Linked DNA regions of Xenopus tropicalis. The protein of the gene in region 1 purifies or fractionates together with the protein of each later gene. This does not show direct contact. Links are inferred from orthologs where the notes say so. Each region holds a gene or a part of one and is shown in the gene's direction. Other genes may lie near its edges.

What was found.
Region 2: the proteins of morf4l1 (region 1) and rbbp7 purify together in Homo sapiens (affinity purification with mass spectrometry; 5 studies listed by BioGRID and IntAct, counting the BioPlex papers as one, with this or other methods). This does not show direct contact. The link is inferred for Xenopus tropicalis from reciprocal best matches to the Homo sapiens genes MORF4L1 and RBBP7.
Region 3: the proteins of morf4l1 (region 1) and kdm5a purify together in Homo sapiens (affinity purification with mass spectrometry; 5 studies listed by BioGRID and IntAct, counting the BioPlex papers as one, with this or other methods). This does not show direct contact. The link is inferred for Xenopus tropicalis from reciprocal best matches to the Homo sapiens genes MORF4L1 and KDM5A.
Region 4: the proteins of morf4l1 (region 1) and gatad1 purify together in Homo sapiens (affinity purification with mass spectrometry; 7 studies listed by BioGRID and IntAct, counting the BioPlex papers as one, with this or other methods). This does not show direct contact. The link is inferred for Xenopus tropicalis from reciprocal best matches to the Homo sapiens genes MORF4L1 and GATAD1.
Region 5: the proteins of morf4l1 (region 1) and actb purify together in Homo sapiens (affinity purification with mass spectrometry; 3 studies listed by BioGRID, with this or other methods). This does not show direct contact. The link is inferred for Xenopus tropicalis from reciprocal best matches to the Homo sapiens genes MORF4L1 and ACTB.

The regions. Positions count from the first base shown.
Region 1 is NC_030679.2:118,088,477-118,091,990, reverse strand, and holds part of morf4l1 (mortality factor 4-like protein 1), read left to right. Parts: intron 1-1,394; coding exon 1,395-1,441; intron 1,442-3,291; coding exon 3,292-3,359; intron 3,360-3,514. UniProt on the Homo sapiens protein: Component of the NuA4 histone acetyltransferase (HAT) complex which is involved in transcriptional activation of select genes principally by acetylation of nucleosomal histones H4 and H2A.
Region 2 is NC_030678.2:94,690,830-94,694,806, reverse strand, and holds the start of rbbp7 (histone-binding protein RBBP7), read left to right. Parts: upstream 1-1,169; 5' UTR 1,170-1,264; coding exon 1,265-1,280; intron 1,281-3,177; coding exon 3,178-3,322; intron 3,323-3,977. UniProt on the Homo sapiens protein: Core histone-binding subunit that may target chromatin remodeling factors, histone acetyltransferases and histone deacetylases to their histone substrates in a manner that is regulated by nucleosomal DNA.
Region 3 is NC_030679.2:9,954,957-9,958,470, forward strand, and holds part of kdm5a (lysine-specific demethylase 5A), read left to right. Parts: intron 1-426; coding exon 427-577; intron 578-1,230; coding exon 1,231-1,348; intron 1,349-2,015; coding exon 2,016-2,371; intron 2,372-2,484; coding exon 2,485-2,623; intron 2,624-3,514. UniProt on the Homo sapiens protein: Histone demethylase that specifically demethylates 'Lys-4' of histone H3, thereby playing a central role in histone code. Does not demethylate histone H3 'Lys-9', H3 'Lys-27', H3 'Lys-36', H3 'Lys-79' or H4 'Lys-20'.
Region 4 is NC_030682.2:31,856,299-31,860,462, forward strand, and holds the start of gatad1 (GATA zinc finger domain-containing protein 1), read left to right. Parts: upstream 1-1,351; 5' UTR 1,352-1,479; intron 1,480-3,611; 5' UTR 3,612-3,651; intron 3,652-3,762; coding exon 3,763-4,011; intron 4,012-4,164. UniProt on the Homo sapiens protein: Component of some chromatin complex recruited to chromatin sites methylated 'Lys-4' of histone H3 (H3K4me), with a preference for trimethylated form (H3K4me3).
Region 5 is NC_030685.2:46,572,742-46,577,045, reverse strand, and holds the start of actb (actin, cytoplasmic 1), read left to right. Parts: upstream 1-1,502; 5' UTR 1,503-1,528; intron 1,529-2,563; 5' UTR 2,564-2,569; coding exon 2,570-2,692; intron 2,693-3,681; coding exon 3,682-3,921; intron 3,922-4,296; coding exon 4,297-4,304. UniProt on the Homo sapiens protein: Actin is a highly conserved protein that polymerizes to produce filaments that form cross-linked networks in the cytoplasm of cells.

The DNA.
Region 1 (3,514 bases):
CTCGCAGTAAAAAATCCTTTCCGAATGTTTAAATGGAACCTCCCTTCTTCTAAACGGAGTGGGTGCCCTCGTGTCCGTTGGAAGGACCTACTGGTAAATAAAACATTAGAGAGATTATTATATGATCCCCTTATATATTTATACATAGTTATCATGTCACCCCTTAAGCGCCTATTAAGGTGCCCTTTAATAACTTGTCAGTGACTTACTGTAACTTATGTATTATTAGAAAAAAAAAATTATGTCTCCCCATCTTTGTAGAGTGTCATGAGCTATATAAAAGCACTTTTACTTCGGCCTCATGCCATTTATATGGATATGGAACTCCTTAATTCTAACATCCTTGTGTTTTAGAATAGCAATTATACAGGAAAAAAATGTACGCTCTGTTTCTAAGCCCAGGTCCTGTTCACACGTCTAACCTATGTAACCGATATAGTTCTTAATAATAATACTGTTATGGATTTAGAAAGCAATATACATTTCCCCCTTATTTAAGCAATACAAAGTTACACCTTGTTTGAGAGCCCCTTTATTCAGAAGCAGTTATATAAGGAAACATAGTAGGCAATTTGCCACTAGAGGTCACTGCGTCATCACTGTATGTGGGTGGAAGCTACATTGTAAGAGATGAGTCTGCCTGTGTGCAGACACGCGGAGCTTATTTCAGAAATGAAAATGCATACTCCTATTTCAGCACCGATATCCGCTGCGTGTGGCCCCTGTTAGTGCAGACACAGAAGGGCTCTGTGTAACTGTAGCCTTAATGAGCAGTAATAGGAAATTAGCTTATGTACTCACCACATATAAACAAGGTCTTTTTTTTCAATTGTTAGTGCTTAGTGTATTGTGCTTTAAAAGACAACTAAAGTCTAATTAATGGCAGGGTATTATTCCATTATATTAGGAACCCCCACTGAATTTTTCCACCCAGGCTGGCGTCTTACACAATGTAGAATGAGGTGGATCTTTATATTTATAAGCTGCCATTGCATCTGTATTTACCAGGGGATCACTTGCACCTAGCTAGATGTGCAGTATAGAATTTTCCTGAGCATGTTTGTTGCTATGCAAAAGGGTTCCCTGGTAAGATGACTAAATAGAAAAATACCAAAACCATGACTCTCTAAACAGCTTATCTGCTTATTTTTATGCACTGCGTAGTGTCCACCTGATCCACTACAAATAACAATAACGTTTATTAATGCATTTCATTACTTTCTGTCTAAATGGAGGGAGGCAAACAGCCAATGCAGGGATTTATATGCTGTATGAGGCAGATTTAATAACATTAGTCAGCCTCAAAATCCGTAGGGAACAGGTTTGAGTGTGCTTGTTTCTTGTGATCTAGCACATATACTTCTCTTGGCATTAAATTTTGTCTTTTCTCATAGGTGAGCGTGTCTTGTGTTTTCATGGTCCTCTGCTTTATGAAGCTAAGGTAGGCTTTGTACTAAATATGAACACACTATTATTTCTTTGTTAAACTTTATGAATGTTAAGGAAGGTGATTAAAAATTTAAGTTGGCCTCTTGCCAATGACACCTGGGACTATTTTGGGTACTTTAGCTTAGAAACACTATACTAAATTGCCCGACAGCACAGATTTTTAAGGCTACCATTGCCTGACAAGCCTATGTCTATGAAAAGCCTGTCATGTCTATGGTTCAGATGAATTTCTACCAGATCTCTGGACAATTAAAAACCTATGTGCCTTTGCCCTATATGAGGTTTTTGTTTTTTTTTACTATGAATTAAACTTCACATAAGAACATCATTGATCTACTGAGTACAATAATGACCCATAAGGGTGTAGAGCTCTTATTTGTGGATGCAGAAAAGCAATTCTCTGTAAATTACATCCCCCATTTATGATGTAGCTGGGTAGAGATAACATGGATCATTTACTTACATAGTACAGGTATGGGATCCCTTATCCAGAAACCCGTTATTCAGAAAGTTCTGAATTACAGAAAGGACATCTCCCATAGACTCCATTTTAACAGACTTAAGTTATGGAGATCCAAATTACAGAAAGTACAGTAATACAGTAAGTTATGTTATGAGTAGAGCTTTCACCCCCCTCTGCCTAAAATACTTTATAGATGCATTTCTAACCCAGTCCTTCGAAGGGTTAAATTGGTTTCTTAACAGAAAGATAATTCAATTATAGGGCTGCTGTTCATGTGATTTTGTACTGCAGGCTTATGATACAAGAAATAGAGATTACAGCGATTTTCACCGTTGCCCTTATTGCTGGAATATATAAAGTTTGTACTTGATTAGTCTACCACAGATCAATTGTTGTGATGTATAATCCTGCTGTACTTGCCTCCTCTGACAAGAAGTATATATTCTGGGTGGTCTGGGGCAAGCAGGCTCAGTAGAGAAGTCACAGCAGGTTTAGGAATGGCTGCTCAAGTCTCCTGCTGAGCTCAAAGTCTTGGCATCTGCATTGCATTGGCTGCATTCTTGAGCCTGTGCACATGTATATGTATCCAGAGGGGTTTCACAGCAGGTATGCATTGGGTGCCCTATTTTAAAACATGGGAAGCAGGTTATAGAAAAAGTTAGACTGTTGAATGGCATGACTGTAGCTGTTAAATTAACAGAATTGGATGCGGTTTTCAGTCAAACAAAGGCAAACAAAGCAAAATGCTGTCTTGAGGAGACTGTTTGCAGAAAATGTTTGTAAAGTGTGTATGCAGTTTATCTCATTTATAAAAAAGTTATGGTTGCCATACAGGCCAAGACCCACTTGCTTGGCAAGGTCGCAAGTAATCAATTTAGAACAATGTGTATAGACGTCCGTCGGTTCAGGGACCGCATCAACGAGCTGTCGCGGGCCCCGATCCAACTAATATTCAAACCTGCCCGATCGAGATCTGCCCAATTTCAGGCCAGATGTTGGTCGGGCGGGTCTGTCGTTAGTGTCCAAACACGTGCTGATAAGCTGCCGAATCTGTCTAAGGGACCGATACTGGCAGCTAGAATCGTCCCGTGTATGTTACCCAAACAGCGGTTCCTAAAATGTAAGGTCTATTCCTGAGAGGGCATGGAACAGCATCAGATGGGACTGTGTCTGAAGGCCTATTTTTGGGGCATACCCATTTGCTCTTTAGGATGCACCTGAAAGAACAAAGGCTAGATGCAAACAGTCTGACAACCGCTGAGATAGGGAAAATACTATACTCCTTTTTTCAGGATGGGCATACTATTTTGCTCATAGCTCATGTCATATGCTTGCATTTCTGAGTACTAGATAAAGTTTGATCTTTCTTTTTATATTAGTGTGTGAAAGTTGCCATTAAGGACAAACAAGTGAAGTACTTCATTCACTACAGCGGATGGAATAAGAAGTAAGTTATATGTAGATTGACATTTCTCATTTTTAATTGACTTAATTAGATATCTATTCTTCAGTTGAAGGTAGTATTATTCTGATAACGTTGTATAGTTCTGGCTTTCATATAGCTAGAATAAACCCTCATAGAGATGAAAAAGTCTCTGTTAC
Region 2 (3,977 bases), on another chromosome or scaffold:
GGGGGGTACTGTGTATGGGGGGGCTGCTGTGTATGGGGGGCTGCTGTGTACGGGGGCACTCTTTATGGGGGGTTACTGTGTATGGGGGGGCTACTGTGTATAGGGGGCACTGTTTATGGGGGGCTACTGTGTATGGAGGGACTGTGTATGAGGGAGCTACTGTGTACGGGGGACACCTGTGTATGGGGAAGCAAAACTGCTACATAGTTATAACTCACTTATAACTGATTGCCTTCTCTCTATATTTGTATTTTAATGTTGGAGTTGCTATATTGTTTTCCTTAGGTAGTACAGTATGAGGGTATAGCACATTTGCGTCTGATCCCACCATTTCATCTATATAAAAGGAGTATTTCTTTTTAAAATGGGGTGTGGTAATTGGGGCGTGGCAACAAAAATGGGCGGGGTCAAAATTGCCTCCAAGTCTTTTTGTCCCTCTTTTCATTTTTCAAATGTTGGGAGGTATGCTTAGGGTAGCAAACCAGTAAAAAATGACATTTAAAACAAGCATTACGAAGGTGGGCTTTTACTTCCAGAAGAGATTTGCACCCTAGCCCATCCAGGCTATCCTGCTATATCTACGTTTTCCAGAACACAACACCAATTGAGTTTTCCTCTTTCCTATTAATCGCAACCCTATCCACTGCCAATTTTGTAGGCTAAGCTGTTAAACCCCGAGGTCTGCGGCACTGAATACATTTCGTTCTGATAGTGGAAGATAGCAATTCTAACGATCACGAAGCTCCCGCATCCCTTCGGCTCAAGCTTTTGAAAACTCTATCTTCTACATTTCCCTAATGAATGCTGCTCCACTGCTTGAGAACGGGAAGGTTCCTACTTAAAACAAATGTTATCGGTATAATAGGTTCATACTTCCTACAGAATAACTACCTAAAATTATTACAATTCACTCCGCACATTAGGAAAAAAAAACACGCTACTACTTTACGCCATGCCAAAATTAAACATGGCCGCGAAACTTTCGGCCTCCCCGCCTCCTTTTACGTAACCAGGTTATTTTCCTCTGATTGGTCAGCCTTGTCCTAGCGTTTGGCGCTAGCCCTTGCGTAAGCGAAGGCGACGGCGGCGGCGTGCCTGTCTGTAACTTTGGCGGGGGATGTTGATGCTGCGTCACTGGTAGTCTTTCTTCTTCTTGTGAGTGTTTGGCGCGGGAAGCTGCAGCAGGACCGGCACAAGCGCGGAACACTGGGTTTTTAGTCACCGCGAGGCCGGCGGCCCTTGCATCTGCACAGGAGTAGAGAAGATGGCGAATAAAGAGAGTAAGTGGGCAGAAAGCTGCTTTATGAGCACGTTTTGGGTTTCTAAAGGGACGGTACTGGGGATGCAGGCATGCTATCCGGGTGCTACCGATTATGACACAGTTTTATATTAAGAAGCTGTGGCCGCTTTGTTTACTGCACCGCTTGTGGTGTGTATGGGAGGCATACCGGATTCTCTTAGGCCTTATCCTACCGCGTAGGCTTGCTGGCTACGGTCCCTATTGCTGGCCTGTAAGGCTCTGGGCCCTCAATTAGAAGAGGGAGTTTATAGTTTGGCACTGTAAGTCGCTACATTTAGTTCCACTACAAGCCAGTTGCCAGGCAGTATTAAAAAATGTAAGATGGGGGATCGACAAAGTGATGAGAATTTTAAGTTAAAACACATTTAGAAATGTAGGTATTGCCTTGTGTAAAGTTGGACTGATCTTTCTTGGGAAACAGAACCAGAGCTTTCTTACTTGCACCACAATAAATGTATGGCATGTGTAACTTTGGTCTGACAGGCCAGACGGCATCAGATACGCTTGTCTGGTGTCTGGTGAAACTGGTAGAATTCTTCACAGGCTGCACACACCTATTCCATCTTTAAACATTTCCTTACATTAAATCCTCCTGTTCTTTTGAGTGATTTACTAATGAGTAAGGTATCGGGCAAGTTTTTTTTTTGTATGGAATCATTAGAAATGTGTTCCTTGTGCCTGAAGTTGTAGAAGTTTCTGCGCCTACAGGGGCAAGTGTGCCTCATAAGCAGGCAGATAGGTTTTTGAGGTGCTGTGGCTCTTCCTTGAGGGCCCATAACTGTTAAACATGCACAGGGCTTGGGCTAGTGTCAGATGATCAGCATCTCAAAATAGAGAACACAGTACAGTTATCCAAAATGCTTGGTACCAAGGGTATTCTGGATAAAGGATCTTTAAGTATTTTGGATCTCCATACTTTGTCTACTAAAACAATCAGTAAAATATTAAATAATCCCAATAGGATTGTCTTGCATCCAATAAGGAATAATTATATTATTATTATGCTCTCTTCACCTCTTGTATTGGTTATTTATTGCTTTATATGTTACTCTGTATGTCCAATGTATGAAACCCACTTATTGTACAGTGCTGCAGAATATGTTGGCGCTTTATAAATAAGTGTTAATAATAATAGATCCCATACCTGTACAGGGTTCTCCTATGGTTACAGTACAGGTAGATAAATGCCAGCTGATACTGATGAATGTTGTGATAAGTGTTCCAATAATCACTTTATCTTTTTGTTAAAGGGATAATGAACTTGCGGTGTGTCTTGCTGGACACTGGCTATATGGGCACTGACTGATGTTATGGTGCATCCTATAGATCTGGGTCTGCCCAGCAAACCAATGCTGCTTTCTTCCAACCATGCTAGTTAATCACCGGTGCCACCTACTCCACTTGGTGTAGCTGTTCCGTCTGTGTATTCAGAGAGGCTTCAGATGGGGTTTTTTTGCCTTCCTCTGGATCAGCTAGTAGTTTGGCAGGTTATATATAGGCATTATGGTTGAACGTGATGGACGTATGTCTTTTTTCAACCCAACTTACTATACTATGCTGTGTAGTTCTTATTTCTGGTAGAGCACAGTGGGGAAAATATGTCACTCAAATGATGTTGGATTAAGTTTACTTAATAAATTATCTGATGTTTACATTGAAGCAACTCTGGTTCAACAACAATACATTGGCTGCCTAGTTATACATGCACACCTTATGCAGCATGTAAATGTTTACAAGCAATCAGTGCTGAGAGGTTTGTTAACAGCCAAGTTTTTGTACGTCTGTTTGACCTGACTAAGCAATTTAATGGTTTTTACTGAATTCAAACAGTAATGCATTCTATTCTGAAACATTTTATAATTTTTTTTTCTCTCTAGTGTTTGAAGATACAGTGGAAGAACGTGTCATCAATGAAGAGTATAAGATATGGAAAAAAAATACCCCATTTCTGTATGACCTGGTTATGACCCATGCACTTGAATGGCCAAGTCTAACAGTTCAGTGGCTCCCGGATGTGACTAGGTGATTTTTTATTTTTAAATTCATTTAATAGCAAATTTTAGTTGTTTTACATGATATTTAAAGCATGGTTAACACCTATTGCATTTTAAATACAACATAAGTAAATTGAAAATAAAAAATGATTGATGAACTTTGTATAAAATACTTGTGAAAAAAAACTTTAGTTCCTAGTTGTTGCTCTGTGCTGCAACCAAATACAATTGTAGAAATGCAAAAAATAGGAAAAAAACTTCAGCAGGTTTACTGCAAACCAGTTATTTTGGGTTGTGGTAACACGACATGTTTCGGGTCAATACCCTTTATCCTGCTGAAGCTTTTTTCCTATTTTTTTGGATTTCAACATTATTAAATTACCTAAGGAGCTGTGGGTAGTATCTAAGATTAAAAAATCTATATCATACTTAACAGATTGCCGCTGCCTTTAAATTTTATTTTCTAGATCAGTGCTTATTTTCAGCAAAGTGGGCCAAATATCTAACATTAAATTTTTAGGGGCTTAATTGTATTAACATTTTTCATCTTGTCTATGTGTACTGTGTATACTGTATACAAAGCGCAACAAGAAGCAAATTACATTTGCACATATTTATTAAGTGAACAGTATCCGTACCACAATACTTATATCTTAATTCCAGTACTAAATTTGCTACAAAAT
Region 3 (3,514 bases), about 110 Mb from region 1:
TCTTGTGCACATTACAGGTGCTCCACCTCTTTCACGGTGCTCTGCTCTCCCACATGATCCACAGTTCCCCTGCTATTTAGACAGGGCTATTCTCCTGCGCTCTTCCCAGGACTCTCCCACTGCTCAGGCCAGTATTGAGACTGCTCCAGGGGTTTGCCCTGGACCAATTCTTGGGCTTTTTAGATCTCTTTCCTTAACAGTGCCTAATCTCTTACTACTACTTGTCAAGGTAGGTGACCAGTACTAGTCTATCCTGGCCTCATTGTGTGACCCCTCTCCCCAATGAGATTCCACAGTGAGTGATCTCAGGTCCCTTGGGTTACCTGTTGTACAGAATCAGCCATTGCCTTCCCTTTTACAACATATGTTGTAGAGTTTGTTCAGTGTCCAGATTTCTTCTCTCACCTATTTTTTTATGTTGTATAGATGTCATCGAGTTGAAAGTCATGCTGGAGGATGCGGAAGATAGGAAGTTTCCAGAGAACGATCTGTACCGCAAACTCCGGGATGCCGTTAAGGAGGCAGAAACCTGTGCATCTGTTGCCCAGTTGCTACTCACCAAAAAACAAAAGCACAAGTATGAGTTGTTTCACATGAATAGCAGTGTACCCCGGCAGGGCATCAGTTTAACAGCTCCTTATAATCTTTACCTGGAAATACCAAAGGCTAATGGCTAGGGATGCACCGAATCCAGGATTCGATTCGGTATTCAGCCTTTATCTCAGGGTTCGGATTTGGCCGAAGCCACGGTCTTGGCCGAACCAAATCCTAATTAGCATATGCTGCATATGTCGCCGCATAAACATGGAAGTGTAAATTTTTTAACATTTAACCCTTCCAGATCCTAACTAGCATATGCTAAGTAGGATTCAGATTTGGTTCGGTGTTCAGTTGAATGCCTTAATGTGGATTCGGTGGTTCGGCCGAACCCGAAAAACTGGTTTCAGTGCATCCCTACTAATGGCACAACCTCTGTTTTTCCCATTTGCTAAGAAATGGAGATGCCAGACGAAACTGCCCCTTTGAGTAGTGACAGGTGGTGTCAGCGTGACCCATTGGTCTTACAATTCCTCACTTACCATGGAATTTATAAATGTTTAACAGCCCTAATATGTTGTCATGATGTTTTAACATTTCTTCAATTTAAATAATGCTGCAGTCCTTCTGTATGTGTTTGTTTGGAACAGGGCAGGTTCTGTCGCAGTCTCTTAAGTGTTTATTGTTTTGCAGCAGATTAAACCCAGAATATGGGAAGACTCGCACCAAACTTACCATGGAGGAGCTCAAAGCCTTTGTGCATCAGCTGTTCAGCCTGCCCTGCATTATCTCTCAGGCCCGACAGGTTAAGGTGGGTGAAACAAAAATAAGCACTGCTTAAGCTCTCTTGTGTTTCTGGCTGGGCTTGCTATAGAGAGATCCTCAGTTCCACAGCAGTGAAACGTGGCCTCTGCAGGTTGCATACTTTGTATTTGGGATCATAGAGAGTAACATGCACCATATTCCTTATAGGATCATGAAATCTGTAACCTGCTTATATGATGGAGCATTGTCCATAGAACAGAGGCCTTCACCTTAAAGCAGTTTATAAAAAAAAAATTACCTTCGATGCAGCCAGCTGTTCTTCTGCACACAGATACTAAGTGGGGTGCCGTTATTGCTCCCACCACTGGGGATATCCTTGTTTTTTTTTCTCTTTGGTTTTCTCCCCTGAGAGCCATTCCATACCCTGGCACATTTCTTTTCTTTGAGAAATGATTTGGTGGTTCATCAAGTTTTATCAAAGAGGCATACAATCATATTCTCAGTTATAGGGGGTATATATATGTTGAAATTAATGCTTTGGCTGCAAAGTGCCAAGCAGTGGGGTGGAACCGAAAAGGAGTAATCATAACTGCTGAGCTGTCTTTGTCCCGAGTTGCTGTTAGAATAAGAAATAAAAGAAAGTTTTGAGTGTAAGAGCTTTAAGAGCCATTGATACTACATTGTACATTCTTGTTTCCTTTTTCCAATCATAGAACCTGCTTGACGACGTGGAGGAGTTTCATGAACGCGCGCATGAAGCCATGCGTGACGATATCCCTGACTCCAGCAAGCTTCAGGCTCTCATAGACCTCGGCTCCAGCTTGTATGTAGAACTTCCAGAACTGCCACGGTTAAAGCAAGAACTTCTGCAAGCCCGTTGGCTTGACGAGGTGCGGCAGACTTTGTCAGACCCTCACAGGGTTACTTTGGATGTGATGAAGAAACTGATTGACTCTGGAGTGGGTCTGGCACCCCATCACGCAGTGGAGAAAGCAATGGCAGACTTACAGGAACTGCTCACAGTATCGGAGAGGATGGAAGAGAAAGCCAAAACATGTCTGCAAGCCAGGTAAGAGACAAGAAGTGCTTGTTCCCAGACTGCATTTGGGGAATGTTTTCTGATTTTATTCTAAATTGCAAGATTTTTCTTTTAACAATTTTTATTTTTGTTTGCCCTTCCAGGCCACAGCACAGTATGGGAGGTATTGAGAGCATCATCGTGGAAGCCAAGAACATCCATGCATATCTGCCCAATGTGCTTGCTCTTAAGGAAGCCCTGCAAAGGGCTAAAGATTGGACAGCTAAAGTGGAGGCCATTCAGGTATAGAGAAACATGGTGCACATTATTCTGACAATATTATCATTTCAGGGGGGCACAGGCAATGGAGAGTTAACACATCTTTCCAGGAGGAAAGGACACCAAAAGGTCAAATGTTTTAACAGCCCACGCTCAGGGGCAGGAGTTTTGGCTCCATTCCCTCGGTTCCTGAGCAGGGGGGACCATGGGGGGATGGACACTGGCTGATACTACAGCCTGCCTCTGGTCTACAGGCTGGGGTGTAGCTTAGACCCCTGGGGCTACACAGTGGAGCAGGGACCTTGGCTCAGATCCCCCTGTCACAGAAGCACTCACAGGCTCTGGAGAGGAGCCTTGCCAGCTCAATGTTACGGTCTGGAGTATGAGGAAGCTCGTAGACTGCTAGTACAAACCATTTAGGTGAAGTAGAAGAGCCCTGGCAACCCTGGTTTTCACAGATGCCCTTTTGGGGCCCTGGACTTTCTGCTGGGGGAAGACAGGGATTCTAAACACTACCAAGGTTGATACGAAAACGCAGTACCAATAGGATCAGGCAGAGGCAACCTCAGTGTCAGGCAATTGTCAAAGGCAGGCAGTGGAGATTCAGTGTAAAAAAACAGAGTAAAAAAATCAGTATAGCAAATGAAACAAGGCTTTAGCTATGATCTAGAAAATTAGAACCAGCTTAGGCAAAGAAAATAAACAAAGTTTGAATTTGGTGCCAAAATGACGTCAGCAAATCACAGAGGGTTCCTCCGACGAGTAGTCCCATCAGACAGATCCTTCTCCCTTTGTTCTCCTTGTTTTAACGGCCCTCAATGTCTCAGCACCCATCTTATCAGACCCCTACAAGGATCTTATCAAGCAACAGAAGAAGACATTCAGAGCCTTCCCCTGACACGAACAGCTCTTCTT
Region 4 (4,164 bases), on another chromosome or scaffold:
TGTATATAAAACAGTGTCCACACAAAGAATAGAGAAAGATTGTTTTATATCAAGAACCCAGTCCAATACTAAACAAAATCAGAACTCAGATGAGACAGGCAGCCAACAACTCTGTGACCCCCGGCTTCCTGCGCAGTGAAAAGACAGGAAACATTTGGTTCAGGTTCAGTTGGCTGAATATTGCCAGGAATCTCTGGCTTCATCCAATAAGGATTAACTATATCCTAGTTGGGATTAAGTACAGGTACTGTTTAACTATTACAGAGAAAAGGGAATCATTTAACCATTAAATAAACCCAATAGGACTGTTCTGTCCCCAATAAGGGGTAATTATATCTTAGTTGGGATCAAGTACAGGTACTGTTTTATTATTACAGAGAAAAGGGAAATCATTTAACCATTAAATAAACCCAATAGGGCTGTTCTGCCCCCAATAAGGGGTAATTATATCTTAGTTGGGAGCAAGTACAGGTACTGTTTTATTATTACAGAGAAAAGGGAAATCATTTAACCATTAAATAAACCCAATAGGGCTGTTCTGCCCCCAATAAGGGGTAATTATATCTTAGTTGGGATCAAGTACAGGTACTGTTTAACTATTAAAGAGAAAAGGGAATCATTTAACCATTAAATAAACCCAATAGGGCTGTTCTGCCCCCAATAAGGGGTAATTATATCTTAGTTGGGATCAAGTACAGGTACTGTTTTATTATTACAGAGAAAAGGGAATCATTTAACCATTAAATAAACCCAATAGGGCTGTTCTGCCCCCAATAAGGGGTAATTATATCTTAGTTGGGATCAAGTACAGGTACTGTTTTATTATTACAGAGAAAAGGGAATCATTTAAAAAAAATAGAATTATTTGCTTATAATGGAGTCTATGGGATATGGCCTTTCCGTAATTTGGAACTTTCTGGGTAACAGGTTTCTGGATAAAGGATCACAAGAACGCTTGGACAGGCCTCCTCTCGGCTTCCATTAGGTTTCTGTCAATAAAATGCACATCCCATTGGAGGGGACATATTTTCACTCACTCAGAGTTGATTGGCTCTACTATATATGTATGGCACATGGAGAAAGAAAGTGACTAACCGCAGGACAAACGGGAGCTGAAGTGAAAGTGCCACAGAGCCCCATGCTGGGTACACAGACACACCGATGCAGCCAGGCCCAGGCGGTATCAGCGCCATATAGAGAGATAATAGTGTCAGGCTCCCCTCCTGATAGCTTTCCCACAGTCCCACGGTTCGCCTACCTTAGTGACTAGGGTTAACGGAGAGTCCAACTCCCGGCGGAGGGTGGGCGCACTCATTTTGCGTAATGACGTGACGTCACAGTCTCGCAAGATGAGATTTGTGACGCCTGAATTAGCCGCTTGCGGAAGTGCGGGAGACTTTAAGGTGTTGCGGGATATTTAAACAGCGATCTGGCGGTGCGGGATGTGCGGGATGTGCTGAGGAGCCGGACTATTGGGCGGTAGGTCCCACACTGACTCCCTGTATGTGTTTCCCCAGCCGGTCTGTGTGCGGCCCCTTCCTTCTGCCTTTGTACCACATTGCTGTTGGGAATAACACACATGCCAAGGCTAAAGAACTAATCAGATAGTGCAAACATGCTGGGAAAGAAAGTGTGACGGCAGCAGAGAAGGGGGACAAATAGCAGAGTAGGAAGGTACTGAAAAGCAGAATGAAATAAAGTACAAAACAAGAGAAAACAAAAGAATGGGCGTGATGGAGATTAAAATGGTAATATAGAAATAGGGGAGAGAGAGGGTTAAATGAAGGGAAACTAATAGGTGGGATACAATTATTATATTAGCTTAAAGAGATAGGTAAGAAAGGAAACACAGCAGCAAGAGAAGTAGCAGGGCGGATGGGGAAATAGATGTGTCTGTGCTGTATCTGTGTATTACATGTGTGTTGGCCTGGGCTCTGGCTATCCTGGCAATGCAGGGGTTAAAAAACTAACAAAGAAGTGCAGAGAAAATACAGTGAAGATAAGTGGAAATAATAATTCAGGATTTATGGTAAACAAAGAGATGGTGGGACAATAAGGAAAGGTGGAGCAGAAGGTAAATGGGAAAGCAAAGTAAGGAGAATTGGGAAAGCAGCATAAGAATGAGAATACAAGTTTAGAATAATTCTGTAAAGAACAGAGACAATGGTTGTTCGGAGAGAAGGGTACATAAAAAAAGATGGCGGAGCATTAAAGCAAGTAGAGAAAGGCTCTCTGAGAATAAAGCTGGCCATACACGCACCGATACTAGCGTACGAAACCTCGTTTCGTACGATATTCGGTGCGTGTATGGCATGTCGGCGAGTCGACCGATATCACAGGAAGCTGCTGATATCGGTCGACTCGCCGATCGGCCAGGTTAGAAAATTTTGATCGGGCGCCATAGAAGGCGCCTGACCAAAATCTGCCATCAGGGCTGAATCGGCAGAAGGAGGTAGAAATCCTATTGTTTCTACCTCCTTATCTGCTGTTTCAGCCCTGACTGTGTGTGGCGAATCTGACGATGTTTCGTGCGACCGATGGTCGCACAAAACATCGTCAGATCGCCACGTGTATGGCCAGCTTAAGGCTGGAGACCGATGATAGAGAAAAGAAGAGAGTAAAATTCTGGAATAGCAATAAAATTGTTAGAGAAGAACACAAATTTACATATGGAAAAGGTGAAGGGAAAAGCAGGACAGAAACAAAGAAAAAGTAAAGAAAATGTTGGATGTGGGTGAGGTTTTTAAGGAGAAGGAAAGGTAAAAACTAAGTAAGCTTTATTAGAAAGGTCTATGTAAATACAGCCATAAGCACTCACAGAAACGCTGCACTGAGTTCTCTGTCAAAAGATTCGTTGTGTCTGTTTTCCTGTGCCAGAGACACGCAGCTCTTTGCTTTCTGCTCATTCCTTCTCCACCCCTCCCTCAAGAATGCTAAGAACTCACTCCCCCCCTTAGGAATGTGGATCTGAGCCAATCAGCAGGAAGCTGACTCATAGTCTTACTAACTGAGCATGTTCACTTGGTCTGGGTGTCGGTGCAGGAGCACGGCATTATGGGAACTTTCATCTGAACGGGAGAAATATGGGAAGACTTAAGGACACTATTGACTTATGGGCCCTCGCTGTCTTATGAAGTTGTGTAGTACTGCTTTACTGGCGCATTGGTTTTCCAGAAAACTGCCCCTACATACCAGTGAGCTGTTTAGTATCTTCTGCTATCATTTCTGTAGGGGTATGTGATGGGGTTTTTGAGTGATATTTTGGTGATATTCTGAGACAATTTATGCACTTTTTTTCAGCAGCTATCTAGTTTGGAAGTTTATCAGCCATCTGGTTGCTAGGGTACAATTTTACCAGGCAGTGGTTTGAACAAAAGACTCGAAGATGAATAGGGGAGGGCCTGAAAAGAATGATAGATAATAAAAATGAACACATTTGTAGCCTTACAGAGCAATAGAAATTAAGGAAAGGCAAATAACAAAAACTACAAAAATGAACACCAAATAAAAGGTTACATACTGAAAGCAGACTTAAAGTGAACCACCTAACCAATTTTTTTTGTGTGTGTATTTGTGTTTTTATGTAAATAACTGTTTTTCATATCTTGCAGATAATTGGCAAATGAAAGGCCACAGCAAAATTATATCACGGTTAGTAATATCATTTTAATAGTTTGATAACCAATTTCCCATGTTGTTTGATTTTCTAAGCACACCAAGAGAGCTGTGTAATGGCTTATGCCATTCCCTTTTGTGATTCAGATGCCGCTGGGATTAAAGCCAACATGCAGCATGTGCAAAACCAACACATCTTCCATGTGGAAGAAGGGAAACCAGGGGGAGATCCTGTGTAATAACTGCAGTGGCAAGAGCAGCAGCAGCAGCAGCGGTGGTGGAAACAACAACAACAGCGGCGGTGGTGGAAGTACCAGTGGTAGCAGCTCTTATACTGGCACAAACTTTGCAAGTGCATCCACGTCCCAGCAGAGTAATGGTGGGAACACTAAGCAGGTACTGGTGCAATTGGAATTTACTTAGTAATGATTAGTTGTTACAGTTCTACAGTTTGCCAGCAGTTTTTGGTTTTGGGTTTTTTTGTTTTTTTTTGTGGGGGGGGGTTCATACTGGTTATTAAAGGCATATATTATAGTAATAGTATCTATT
Region 5 (4,304 bases), on another chromosome or scaffold:
TAAAAATAACTCTTTTGCATGTCTGGCTAAGCAAAGACTATTTTTATACTGTTGCCAGAAGGTCAGAGCTGTAAGCAGCACTTTTTATGTTTTTATATTTATCTACTAATTTTGTTTTGTCACTTTAACTTTTTATTTCACGTTTGGAGCCAATCAGGTCTCCAGCTCTAACATCTGGCTATTAAGCTCTTTTACCCCTAGCTTTTGTGAAACCACAACTGTGAAGGGATCCTATCTAGCTGAGGTAAAGGACAGTCTATAGACCACTACAGTTGTAGGACTTTTGGCTTCAGGGTAGGGGATAAATAGGACTCCCCTAGACCTGATGAAGAGGGCCTAAGACACCTGCCCCTTCAGGCCTCCTCGCTGGGGGGGCATTCATTCTTTCCATTTTAAAGGAGGGTCTAAATTTGCTGACCCTTGCATTCTTTTGTTTTTTTTTTGCACCTGGGTGAAAAAGCATGTTCTTCAGGCTTCAAAAAACATATGAGTGAGATTGGCAGGGAAGGTCATAGTCATAGTAAACTTAGACTTTGCTGATAAACTTGGTCTTTGCTGATATGAGGGTTGGTTACTTGGGGAGCTCACATTCCAGTTACTGCATGGGGCTCCAAATGTTTTACTTTAGATTAGTTTAGATTTTTTTTCCTTACATACGTTGCATTTTATTCTCAGGGGGACGGATGATCTTCGACAGTATCAGCTTAACCAATAAATACGTTTATGAGTACCAGAGGTCATTGTAGAGCTGTAAACTGTAAAGTTAAATAACAAATGGTTGACCTGCATAGGAAATGGAAGTATGGACAAAGAGCAGTATCGCTGACTCAGAGCAGGGAAGGCGATTTAAAAGTGTTTATATAAGGAAATATGTGCTATAATGATACTTTTCTTTCCCTTACAACACAGCCATACATGAAGAAATAACTAGGCACTATCACAATATGCTGGCGCTAGAGACAAGAAGTGCAATCGAGTCACTGTATTCATGGATTGTACGCAACACAATGCAGTGCGTCACTGTAACGTTACAAAGCTTACTGTCTCGGCAGGCTGCAGAAATCCTAACGAACTGCATTTGGTCCTGACATTTCTGCAGACATAAACGTGCAGACTATCTGCTTTGCAAAGCCATGTTTTAAGAGAGTAAATCATTTCAGGCCAATAAAGAATATAAAAAGAAAGAGTTCTGCACCGCGCCCTTTATTATACAGCAATTAATGGAAAGGATAAGGCGTGGTATATCTAAGTGTAGATTTAATGAAACATATATATGTATATTGATATCTATGTATGTACGTATCTGTGTATATACGTATCCGCATCCTAGCTAGTAGGTGTAACTGCCTCACTCTACGCGCCCCCTTCGCCCGCAGTTCCTACAGCCAATCAGCTTCCCAGTTCCTGGAACGCTCCTTATATGGTGCAGCCGGCTGGGGCGCGCAGCATAAAACCGGCGCCCTAGCCCGACAACTGCTCAGTGACCCGCCCGCACAGAAACAGGACAGTGTGTGTGTCGTACTCTCAGGCAAGTAGCGCCGAGCCTGCTATTGTTGTGCTTTTCCTCTGCTATTTCCTGCTTCTATTCGCCTATTTTTCTCTATATATTATTAGAATAAGCATGATTTGGTTCTAATTGGCTATGTTTTTCATAATGTGCTTGAAATAGTTGGTAGCTTAATGTAGCGTTATTTACTTGAAGGTAAGACTTGTTAGTAGACAAGCGTGAAGCCTGGTTCTGGAATTGTGCTAAAGTTCAGTTCCTTATATGCTTAATTAGATCTTAATTGATAAAGGACACTGGAAGTTGTAGGTTGTACATACTGGAGAGCTGGGGAACCATTTTTCTGTTACAGCAGGTTTAACTTGTAAGTTGCATTTAAAAATAGGGTTTTGTTTTTTTTTTGTATCGTTTCCTCTTCTGTAAACTGAGCCCCCAATAGCAGCGCCGCTTGGGGATGTGCGATTGGGCGGTTCCCTGCCGATGTTAGTGTGAGGCTGCACACAAAGCTACATATTGTGTATAAGTGTGTGATGCAATCTGTGTCGGAACAGCCTTTTGCTGTCTAAAATATATTGGCGGTAGTTCTCTCCCGCTTCGGTTTAGACTTTCCATATGCATGTATATCCGTAACTAGAATACAAAAGCGCAAGTTACATCTTATATATTTATTTTGTCCTTGCACTGGTAAAAACGGAGTCACACCTGCAGTATGTGATTCTGTCCTGTAGTGTTGCCTTCATGAAACATTGGGAGTGGTAGTCGGTTGGTTCGATTGCCTAATACCAGCAGTGACTTGTTTCTTTGCCACACCTTCACTATCCATGGCTGGATGGGAGGGGTGCTTGTGTAAATCTTTGCTGTTGCCTTATTTGGTAATACAGAAAATAAATCGATTTCCCTTTGTCTAAATCTGTACAGAAATGGTGCAAACCCCTGCGCCCTCTTGTGACAGACCTTATGAAATGCAAGTAATGGGCAGGAAGCGTCCTTGTGGTATATACCAGCGCTCATAATTTGGGTGGATAATTATCTCAATTTTATTTATTTTTTAAATTTCAGATTACAATGGACGACGATATTGCTGCACTGGTCGTTGACAATGGTTCTGGTATGTGCAAAGCCGGCTTTGCAGGTGATGATGCACCCCGTGCTGTTTTCCCATCCATTGTTGGTCGCCCAAGACATCAGGTATGCCCTTTTCATGCCTTTTTCATTTCATGTCTAAATAAAACCTAGAAATAAAACTAGTAAAGCACCTCTAACAAATCAGTGTGTTGTCCCAAGGAGGTAAAACATTTTTTTTTTTTTTTTATGTATTTAACTGTTAAAGGTGAAACTAATCTGGGGGCAAATAAAACTGCAATTCTGCATGGGTTATAGGTATGTTGGTAACAATATATTTGCCATTGAGTGTTTTTAAACCATACACGTAAGGATAGTTTCCAAAAAGTGTTGCATAAGATGATGCAATTTTTTTTATTTTTTTTTTTTTTTTTACTCTTTCAAATAAACACTGCAGGCAGGAATAATCACATAAATAGCTGTGCCTAGGGCACCCCCCAACTCTTGTGCCCTAGGCTTGTGTCGGTTATTCCTTTAAGCTGGTTTTGGGCACTTCTCGGCAAGGCTGAAACTAGGAGTAGGCATATTTAAAATAAACTCTTTATACTGTCCACACAAACCCTGTTTATTGACTTATGCTGTGTAAGTGCTAAAGCCAGTTACATTTTCCAACCCTGCATGAAAAGAATTTCTTTTCAGAGTGTAATGTGGTTTAATTTAAATGGAAAAATATTTTAATTAAGTGCAGGTTAAGTGTGTGTATATAGATATTTAATATGATATATATATTGTACTTTGCACACTACATTTCCATATTCTTTGCAAATTGCCTACTTCTGTTTATTTGTGAAATACACAGGGGCGTGGTTAACATAGCAAATGTTCTTGCATACTCTTGTTTCCTGTAAGCACAAGATGACAGGAAGTATTACGAAATTAGAGGGCCCTGCCCAAAAGAGCTTTTACTCTAGAATTTCCTCTTAAAGTCTGCATTATGTGAGGTCCATGAAAATCCACTTTATTCATTCCATTGTCTGGCTAGTATTGAATTAAGGCATGCTTTTCATTTACTAAATTACTTAATTTAGTCCAAATTGTCTTACGCTTTATTTTAGGGTGTCATGGTTGGAATGGGACAGAAAGATAGCTACGTAGGAGACGAAGCTCAAAGCAAAAGAGGTATTCTTACACTCAAATATCCTATTGAGCATGGCATTGTCACTAACTGGGATGATATGGAGAAGATCTGGCATCATACCTTCTACAATGAACTCAGAGTGGCCCCAGAGGAACACCCAGTGCTGCTGACAGAAGCACCCTTGAATCCCAAAGCTAACCGGGAGAAAATGACGCAGGTATGTTACCTGTTTTCTGGTGTGAGGGTTTGGGTTGTGGGTTTTGTTTTGTGTTTTTTGTTTTTTAATTATATAATTGCTATTCCTTACAGGGCTGTCCTGGCCTCAAAGTTTACTGGAATCTCAAAGGTTTTTTTTCAGTATTTGCCTGTTTTACATCAAGGGTAGAATACTAACAATGTTAGCGTTGTGTGAAAAGTGCTGAATGATGGCTTGTTTTTCAAAGTTCACTTTGCTTGTGTTTTTCCTCACATTGGCCCTGCCTAAATTTGTGTTGTGTGCAGCAAAATCAAATGCTGTTCTGAAACTACACATGCATGAGTTTTGGATGCCTTTATGCAGGTAATGTGCTAATTGCCTTTTCAACCATTACAGATCATGTT